3 linked regions of the Coturnix japonica genome follow. The protein of the gene in region 1 purifies or fractionates together with the protein of each later gene. This does not show direct contact. Links are inferred from orthologs where the notes say so. Each region holds a gene or a part of one and is shown in the gene's direction. Other genes may lie near its edges. The genes, in order: SESN2, SQSTM1 and MIOS.

What was found.
Region 2: the proteins of SESN2 (region 1) and SQSTM1 purify together in Homo sapiens (affinity purification with western blotting; 3 studies listed by BioGRID and IntAct, with this or other methods). This does not show direct contact. The link is inferred for Coturnix japonica from reciprocal best matches to the Homo sapiens genes SESN2 and SQSTM1.
Region 3: the proteins of SESN2 (region 1) and MIOS purify together in Homo sapiens (affinity purification with western blotting; 5 studies listed by BioGRID and IntAct, with this or other methods). This does not show direct contact. The link is inferred for Coturnix japonica from reciprocal best matches to the Homo sapiens genes SESN2 and MIOS.

What each region holds. Positions count from the first base shown.
Region 1 is NC_029538.1:1,893,096-1,896,875, forward strand, and holds the end of SESN2 (sestrin-2), read left to right. Parts: coding exon 1-164; intron 165-404; coding exon 405-587; intron 588-778; coding exon 779-988; intron 989-1,107; coding exon 1,108-1,258; intron 1,259-1,341; coding exon 1,342-1,457; intron 1,458-1,574; coding exon 1,575-1,765; intron 1,766-1,884; coding exon 1,885-2,029; intron 2,030-2,142; coding exon 2,143-2,229; 3' UTR 2,230-3,194; downstream 3,195-3,780. UniProt on the Homo sapiens protein: Functions as an intracellular leucine sensor that negatively regulates the mTORC1 signaling pathway through the GATOR complex. In absence of leucine, binds the GATOR subcomplex GATOR2 and prevents mTORC1 signaling.
Region 2 is NC_029528.1:4,620,735-4,622,922, forward strand, and holds the end of SQSTM1 (sequestosome-1), read left to right. Parts: intron 1-38; coding exon 39-280; intron 281-532; coding exon 533-740; intron 741-1,348; coding exon 1,349-1,506; 3' UTR 1,507-1,659; downstream 1,660-2,188. UniProt on the Homo sapiens protein: Molecular adapter required for selective macroautophagy (aggrephagy) by acting as a bridge between polyubiquitinated proteins and autophagosomes.
Region 3 is NC_029517.1:22,623,446-22,627,100, forward strand, and holds part of MIOS (GATOR complex protein MIOS), read left to right. Parts: coding exon 1-80; intron 81-786; coding exon 787-939; intron 940-2,215; coding exon 2,216-2,420; intron 2,421-3,460; coding exon 3,461-3,590; intron 3,591-3,655. UniProt on the Homo sapiens protein: As a component of the GATOR2 complex, functions as an activator of the amino acid-sensing branch of the mTORC1 signaling pathway. The GATOR2 complex indirectly activates mTORC1 through the inhibition of the GATOR1 subcomplex.

The sequences.
Region 1 (3,780 bases):
AGCTGCTGATCGAAGCCTTCGTGTCCGCTGGTTGCGTGGACAACATCACGATGGTGATGGGGCTGCACCCCCAGTACCTGAGCAGCTTCTGGAAGACTCAGTATCTCCTGCTGCGCATGGACGGACCCCTCCCCTACCACAAACGCCACTACATCGCCATCATGGTGAGCGGGGGACCCCCAGGAGTGGGCGATGCCATCCCCTAAACACCACTTTGGGGTCATTTATGGGGTACCCAACACCCTTTACAGCCTGGGGGTTGATGTTGGGATGCAGAGCCCCCCTTGGCTGAGCGCTGCCCCAAGGGAAACCCCTCTGGGTGGTGATGGGGAGGGGGGGGTCCCTGTGTGGCTTCTCCAAAGGCTCGTATTGGGGTTGGGGCTGACCCAGCTGATCCCCCACAGGCTGCAGCCCGGCATCAATGCACCTACCTGGTGGGGCTGCACATGGGGGAGTTCCTGCAGGCGGGGGGCAACCCGGCATGGCTGCAGGGGCTGCACTGCGCCCCACAGAAGCTCAGGAACCTGAATGAGATCAACAAGCTGCTGGCACATCGGCCCTGGCTCATCACCAAGGAGCACATTGAGGTGGGACACCCCAATAGGGGGGTTTGAAGGGGGGTTGGTGGTCCTGGGGGCCACATCGCTGCCTGGATTTAACCCTTTGGGGACCATAAGTCGGGTGGGTGGATGGGGAAGGAGCGGTGGCTGGGAGCATGTGATGTATGTATGGGGCTCAGGGCCTGATGCTGTTGTCCCCCCCCATCTCCCCCCTGCAGGCACTGCTGAAGACAGGGGAGCACAGCTGGTCGCTGGCAGAGCTGGTGCAGGCGCTGGTGCTGCTCACCCATTACCATTCTCTCGCCTCCTTCGTGTTCGGCTGCGGCATCAACCCCGAGGCAGGGCAGGATGGGGGGCAGGGCTGCAGACCCCCCTCACCCCACAGCGACAGCAGCCCCACAGCTGAGGACAACACGGGGTGCTCAGGGGTAAGAGCTGGGGGGTGCCGTCCTGCTGGGGTCTCCCTATAACACCCAAGGGATGGAGTGTGGCCCCTTGTATGGGGGTTTATTGGGGGTGCAGCACTGAGCCTGCCCCCTTTGTGCAGGGCAGGGATGCTGTGCGGGAGGTGGAGGCGCTGATGGAGCGGATGCAGCTGCTGCGGGACAGTCAGAGGGAGGAGGAGGGCGTCACACAGGAGGAGATGGCGACGCGCTTCGAGATGGAGAAGACTGAGAGTTTGTTGGTGGCCCCATCGGGTAAGAAGGGGGTTGTGTCCATAAAGGGGCTGTTGGCCCCCATTGCTGGGCCGTGGGGTGGTGCTCACAGTTGTGCCTTGCAGATGTGACAGACCATGCCCTGCAGTCCGGCTTGCTGTGCTTCGTGGAGGACCCTGAGTTCGGCTATAAGGACTTTACACGGCGAGGAGAGCAGGCGCCCCCCACCTTCCGTGCTCAGGTGGGTCCCACTCCCCCCCCAGCACCAACAACAGGGGCTGGGATGGAGCCAAAGCAGCAGCACTGGTAGGTGATAGAGTTGTGATGGAGGGGTGACCATCTTCCCCACCCCTCATAGGATTACACATGGGAGGACCACGGCTTCTCCCTCATTAACCGGCTGTACCCCGACGTGGGGCAGCTGCTGGACGAGAAGTTCCAGGTGGTTTATAACCTGACGTACAACACCATCGCGATGCACTGCGGCGTCGACACCTCCATGCTGCGCCGCGCCATCTGGAACTACGTGCACTGCGTCTTCGGCATCCGGTGGGTCCCCCCTGTGCTCCCCCATCCCCTGGGTCCAGCTAAAGGGATGTGGGTCTGGGTATGGGTGCCCCAATGGGCTTGTGGCATAGGGCTGATGTGTTCGCTTCATCACCCCCCAGCTATGACGACTATGACTATGGGGAGGTGAACCAGCTGCTGGAGCGCAGCCTGAAGGTTTACATCAAGACAGTGGCCTGTTACCCAGAGAAGACAACCAAGAGGATGTACGCGCAGTTCTGGAGGCACTTCAAACACTCCGAAAAGGTGCTTTTCCCTTCATTTCCCCCTTCATTTCCCCATTTCCCTTCATTATTTCCCCTCTCCTTTGGGGCTGAGCCCCCCCCTCACCATGCCCTGACCCTGTTGTCCTGCTATAGGTCCACGTCAACCTGCTGCTGCTGGAGGCCCGGCTGCAGGCTGCCCTGCTGTATGCACTGCGCGCTGTCACACGCTACATGACCTGACAGCCCCCTGCTCCCCCCCATCCTCCTCCTGTTCTGTGGGGGGGGCTGGGAGCAGTGGGGAGCTGGACTGTGTTGGGATGTCACCTCCTGCCTTATGGATGTAGAGATATGGGGGGGAGATGGGGGTATCTGTGCCTCTTATCCTGGGGTGGGGGGGTCTCTGAGTGCCCCCCATGTGCCCCTGTGGGGTGGCTGGAAACGGGGCTGTTGTGTGCCTTGTGTTGGGGGGGAGCCCCGTGGAGCTGAGCCCCTTTCCCTGGGGTGCCCTTAGCAATGATGCTGCTGTGCCCCCCCCCCCACAGCCCCATCATGTTTGTCATCCTATAGGGGGCTGAGGGGCACAGAGGTGTTGGTGCCCCCTTTGTACCCCCCTGCAATTGGGGACTGGAAGTGCCTTGAGCCCTGGGTAGGGATTAGGGTGGGGGCTGCAGCACCTGCACTGCCTTTCTGACCCCCCCATGTGCCCCCTGCCTGCTCTGTGCCACTGAAGGTCTGTGTTGCATCCTGTGCCATCCCCCCCCCTCCCTCAGGTCCCTTTGTGGCTGTGGAGCTCAGTGCCAGGGCAGCACTTCTCCTATCGCTGCCCATCACTCCAAAGCTGGGGGGGGCTGTTAGGAGGGCAGCTGCCCCCCCTGCAGCACAAGGGACCCCCAACACCCCCCCATCCCCTGCTGCACTTTATTGCACAGCACACTGCCGTGGGGGGGGGTCCATTGGAGCACTGCTGGGCTGGGATATGGGGTGCCCATGCTCAACCCCCCCCCTCCCATCCCACACCCCATGTGCCTTTCCCCTCAGTGCTGGTCACTGGGGGAGCCATGGGGACCCCCACCACCCCCCAGGTTTGTTTCTGCTGCATCACAGCTCCACTTTAACTTATTTCTGGTTGTTGTTTGGACTCCTATGTGGGCCTGGAGTCTGCAGCCTTCATGTGAAGGAGGGAATACATTCTTTTTTTATTATTATGGGGTGTCTGAGTGTTGTTCTTTTACCTTCCCCCCCCCCCCCCAACATGCTGTGATATGGGGTGGGGGGCAGCGTGCAGCAGCACCAGGTGCTTATCAGCACCCAGCGGCACCTGGGAGCTGCAGATAAGAGATGGGACGGTGTGGGGGGGGGGGGCAATGAGCAGCTGCACGAGGTCTGTGGGTGCAGGGGGTGCCCTGCAAGGGGGGGGGGCTGAAGTGTGTGGTGGGGGTGCGTGTTGCTGGGGCAATGGAGGGAGTAATGGGGGTCCCAAAGGGGGATGGGAACGGGGGTCCTGAAGGGGGAGGGGGGGGGGTCGTGAGGGATCGGAGCTGCAGGCACTAGGGGGTGGTTGAGGGGGGGGGGTCGCCATGGGGGCTGCGCTGCTCCCAATGGGGGATCGGGGCTTTGCTGGGCCGGCAGCGACACTCGGTGGAGGAGGACAGAGGAGCTGCACAGCCTGCATTGCTGCAATACCTGCATCGCTGCACAACCTGCATCGCTGTACAACCTGCATTGCTGCACAGCCTGCATTGCTGTACAACCTGCATCGCTGCACAACCTGCATTGCTGTACAACCTGCAT
Region 2 (2,188 bases), on another chromosome or scaffold:
ATCTAATGGTTTTTTCTTGGTCTCAAATGTATTCCCAGGTATTGAAGTTGATATTGATGTGGAACACGGAGGACAGAGAAGCAAAGTGACTCCTGCTTCTAATCAAGAGAATAACGGTGCCGAGTCAAGCAGCAGTACTGCTAATCAGAACAGTCAGAGCAAACCATGCTGGAATAGCACAGATTCTGCAACGGTAGTAAACAATGTTACAGAGCAGATACAAGACATGGTGATAGATCCTGTGCCCACACAAATGGAAGATGGCAGCCTCCAGTCCCAGGTACAAGAAACACTGCATTAATTTAATACGCTTGCTGAGGCCTTACTGAAAAGGAAATAATTCAGTATGTGTTGAGGGACTGATGATTCAGTTGTCAGCAGATAGAGAATATATGGCACTTTGCTTTACTGGTTTACAGCAAAGGTGGGACTTGTTGTAAATGTAATTCTTCCTATTAAAAGCAGATAGTAAGAGCATGCATCCTACCTGGAAAGCACTACGGCACCTGGACCTCCTTTCTTTCCATTTCAGGCACACAGTGAGTCAAGCAGTTCATCAGGGGGTGACGAGGACTGGACCCACTTGTCTTCCAAAGAAGTGGATCCTTCCACAGGTGAACTGCAGTCTCTACAAATGCCAGAGACAGATGATCCCAGCTCCCTAGATGTAGCTCAGGAAGCTCCCCAGGCAGGACCTACAGGGCTGAGAGAGGCTGCACTCTACCCACATCTCCCACCAGGTACGAGAATGCATGCAGGTTGCACGTGAGTTAAAGTTGCTCTCACTTATTGCCAACTTGTCCAATATAAGCAAACCTGCTTAGGAACCAAGCTCACATACAGACAAGTTAAACTGTAACTTGTGCTCTGGCAGCACTCTGCATGCTGTTAGGAACAGGCATGTTCTCTGCTTGAATGGTGGCAGCAAGTCTTAAACTGGTACTAATATGCCATTTGAGCAGGATGAGAGAGGTGGCCTCTAATCAGTGTCCTTGCTGTGTACTCTTGGAGAGCCTTTTAATGCAGGCTGTAGACAATACATCCTGTAACTTAAGACACTTTTCTGGCAAGAGCTAGTTAGGAGTCTGCCAGGTCACTTAACTGAAACCACTGGCAATGAGGTTTACAGCAAGGACAGATGGATCTAACTCAGCTGCTTCCTTAGCAGGTTACATATGCTGTATCTCAAAATGTCTGCCTCATAGGATACAGAGGAAAGTGTCTTCCAGCGCTTGTCAGCTATGCTAGATCTGCTAGGATTAGTGCCAGCCCACCATGTGATACCACAGCCTTGGCTGGTTTGCTAATAATGTGAAGCGTTTTAACTTCAAACTCATTCTCTTGACAGAAGCAGACCCTCGCTTGATTGAGTCTCTGTCCCAGATGCTCTCCATGGGCTTCTCTGACGAGGGTGGATGGCTCACTCGACTCCTGCAGACAAAGAACTGTGACATCGGGGCAGCGCTAGATGCCATCCAGTATTCCAAGCAGCCTCCTAACTTGTAGTAGCCTATGTAACAAAAACCAGTTTCCTTCTAACTAAAAGAAAACTATGTGGTACAGTTAACTCTAGCAAATGCATCTTCTGTTACAGGTTTCTGTTTCATGTTCCTAAGTGCTTGTAGTGTGGAGAAAAAAATAAATACTGCCACTCTTTCACTGGTGATGAGTTTGTGGCTGTTTAATAATCATAACTGTTCTACTCTGTTAACTGGAACTTGATTATAAGTTAGGAGAAGATCCAGGCCAAGAGCACATGATTTCTATGTCAGGTGGTTCTCAGTGTAAAAGTAAGGCTAGCTCTGTGCCAGTCTGTTTCTTGCACATAACCTGGGCTCTGAGCAGACACCTCGGGGTTATTCATTTGTGAAGAGCAATCAAATGCTTGGCTCTGAAGCCTGCACCGTAGCTTTGAAAGAAAGAGTTGCTATGGGTGATGCAAACAAAGAGCTAGAACAAGGGAAAAGAGTTGCAGTTTATAGTGGGGAATTAATCACAGAACTTAACTGTACTGGTAAGATATTCTTAAAGCCTTGGAGGCATCCCTGCTCCCTCCCATCTGACCTACTTCCATTCTTACTTCTAATGTACTTGCTAGACACCACTGTGCAAACATAGCACTTGCTTCTTGGATCAGTCTTTCCCAACAAGACACAGCTAGATTGCCTTTAAACAACTTCTTTAATAA
Region 3 (3,655 bases), on another chromosome or scaffold:
CAAAAGATGGTGTGGACTTGATGGAAAGTTATGTTGACAGAACTGGTGATGTCCAGACAGCAAGCTATTGCATGTTACAGGTTAGTTTCTCACTCAAAAATGAATCTTTACATAGTTTGTTTAGCAGTTGATTCTTGTGAACTGAGAAGTATATTCAGTAGTAAATTTTGACAATATATAGCCTGCCTGTTTTGTGCAATCATCTGAAACACTTTGTGATAACTACAAACTTCTATATTCAAGCTGTCTCAGTCAGAGAAAGTGAAGACAAGGGGAAGACAGAAAAAATAGCCGAACAGTTGAATAGTTGAACTACTTCAGCATTTTCTGATAGGTCCAAAATAGGCTTTTTTGCTTCCAGGGTTTTTTTAGAGAAATGCTATAAGGTGGAGGGTTTTTTTTGTCTTTGGGTGGATGTTGCTTTTATTTATTGTTTTGAGCTTATCTTATCGTGGTCCTTAATGGAACAGCTGGAGTTACTACCTGTGCTGTGTTTGACTATGGATGTAACCACAGTAATGATATGAACTCAGGTGTGCTACAGAAATGAATAATCCCAGTTTTTAGGAGATCAGCAGCAGGAGCATTCTCAACCTGAAGGGCAAACTGAAGAAAACTTTTATCAATCTTGTGTTAAGTGTTTCCAAATATCATCTTTCTCTGTGCAAATTTTGCTATTATGTATCATATTTTGTATTATGTACTAGTAAAGCCTTTTGAAAAAGTGAATAACTTGTGTTGTGTGTGTTCAGTGTTATGTCTGGCATTTTTTTCCTTTCTCTTTAGGGTTCTCCTTCAGAAGTACTTAAAGATGAGAGGGTTCAGTACTGGATTGAGAACTATAGGAATCTTTTAGATGCTTGGAGGTTTTGGCATAAACGTGCAGAGTTTGATATCCACAGAAGTAAGCTGGATCCCAGTTCAAAACCTTTAGCTCAGGTAAGTATCATTCTTACATGAAGTATGACCAATCCAGAAAGGCAACGTGGTACTTAAATAGAAATAAATAAATGAAACTGCTGGGTGCATCTTGGCTTTTGTGAGGAAAAGAAAGATTTCAAATCAATGTTTTGTTGTTTTATTTGTTGTTGTTGTTGCTTGGTTGTTTTTGTTATTAATATATTCAAAAATATTACTCAGAAAAAGGACTTAACTGTTTTGGTAGGGGGTAAGGAAGTGAACAAGTTTACATGAATTCTAATCTAGGAAGTGCCATTTCATCCAATCATTATTTTTCCTAAGCCTTTCCTTCTAACAAAAACTCATCTTCTGGAATCTGTAATGTTTCCACGCTTTTTCTGGTGTATCTGTGGATTTTTTTTTTTCTTCCAGTGTTGAAAAACAAAATCAGAAACTTACCCTAGTGAGTTCTTCATCATGATGAGGATGGTGCTGAAACTAAGAGATGGAGCCAAGAAATGGTTCAAATTGGCTTTTAGTTTAACTGAGCCTTTGAAGCCTTTGAGTCTGAAGTGAACAGCAGTTTTCCTTATCAGTTAGAGCATAAGCTAAACTGAAAACTGACACCCTATCCAAATATTATCTGGTACTGTTCTTACTCAAAATGTTCCACCCACAGCAACTCCTACTTGCTCATGCCTGCTAATATGTGCATTACAAACATTGGGGATGCAAGGATTTCTAAGGAAGGCTGTTTTTTGATGCACGTATTCTTCACAGCTTTTTTAAGACAACTCCATGTATTCTGCTCCAAGTGAGAAGGAGTTGAATTTACTGTTCGTGCCTTACATGAGCAACATAAGTAATTCCTGAAGAGCTCAAAGTATTGCTTTTCTCTGTATTATGCCTCAACTTGTGGCATAAGGTATACAGGTGAAGATTAGTTGGCTTATCCTCATGTTGGGGGCTCTAGAGTGAGTCACTTGAGTAGAAAGAGGGAAAGGCCTGTAAACTGAGTAAACTGAATTTCTTAAATTGCCTGACATATAAATTGTTATATTCTTAAATAATATCTCTCCCAACAGTAATAGTTTCACATGGTTTTATGAATTACATGGGCATCATTGAGGCCTACTTCTCAGAAGTGCATATCAAGTCTATAAGCCAAGACGTTTGCAGCACCTTCACAAGACTTTCCAGCTTAGTTTTTAGAATGTCTCATCAATTGAGTCTTTGCTAGCTGGAGCAAATTTACTTGTAATTGTAGAAGAAATGGAAACAAACTGAAAAATTAATGGGCTTTTGTTCTCTTTAGGTGTTTGTGAGCTGCAATTTCTGTGGAAAATCGATCTCTTACAGCTGTTCAGCCATTCCTCATCAGGGACGAGGTTTCAGCCAATATGGGGTTAGCGGCTCACCAACTAAGTCCAAAGTTACCAGCTGCCCTGGTTGTCGTAAGCCACTTCCTCGCTGTGCACTTTGCTTGATAAATATGGGAACTCCAGTTTCCAGTTGTCCAGGTACTACATACTTGTTTTAAGTTGTTCAGCTGGAGTCCTCATTAGAAGCTAAAGAACATGATCTGTTGCACCTTTTCCTCCTGTTTGTACTCATACTGTAAATACTAATATTTAAATAGACTGTAGTAGAGAACACATTTACATCCCATCCAATATTTTGATTAAACCTATGTCTTTTTTTTTTTTGTGTCAGACTGTATGCACAGTTACCTCATTCTGGCCTTTTTTTTCCAGCGAGATCATTATATCTCCATAGTTTAAACAGAAGAAAAGATTTGGATATTGTGGTGTTTGGTATTATGAGCTTTGACAATGTAAGAACTGAGAGATGTGTTTTCTTGGAATGAACTGTTGGGAGGCTGCAGAAATCTTGTAATGTAAATTAATTGCTCTTTAACTGGAAGAGGAAATAAATGTAGTGTAGTATATATTCTCTCTGTGACTAAATATGAAAGAACGTATGGGTCCCGCTGGCACAGTTAAGAGATACTATTCCTAGAATCTCTTGGTTCTGAATGTCTTGGACTCATCCAAGGTCTAAGTAAAATTAATTTTTTCCATATTTTTAGGTCAGTCTTGTTAAAGAGCTATGAGCGTCTGTACAGTTGTCATCCATTTATATCTCTCTCATTCTTTCACTGGTCAGTGTTATGAGTTGTTACTGAATTATTCCAATTCATAACTGAGATTTTGCTAATCTTACATGTTTTAAAGCAGAACATTCCATGAACAGGTGCATAATTCACTGGAACACAAATTAATCACCAAAACATAAATCACCACTGGAAGAGATTCTGTCTGCAAAATTTAATAGGCAAGATTAGCATGTCCGTAAGGTGTGAAACATTAGCCAAGCAATATGTTCTTGATTCTCCACCAGTTCTTACATCTTCAATAATTGTGTTGACATCTCTTTTAAAATCAGGCTGCTTTTTCACCTGAAGTTCCTAATTCCAAATTCACTCTAATAGTGTTAGTGAGGCTGAAATACAAGGTATTATGTTTCATTTGTCTGTTGTGCTGGGCTTGCTTCTGTGCAGGAGGATCCAAGTCAGATGAAAAAGTGGATCTTAGCAAAGACAAGAAGTTAGCCCAGTTCAACAACTGGTTTACTTGGTGTCACAACTGTAGGCATGGTGGACATGCTGGGCATATGCTCAGTTGGTTCAGGTAAGTTGACGTTAAGATCTTTTCCATTTCACTTGTGTATGCTGCATGAAATAGGATGTGTTTGT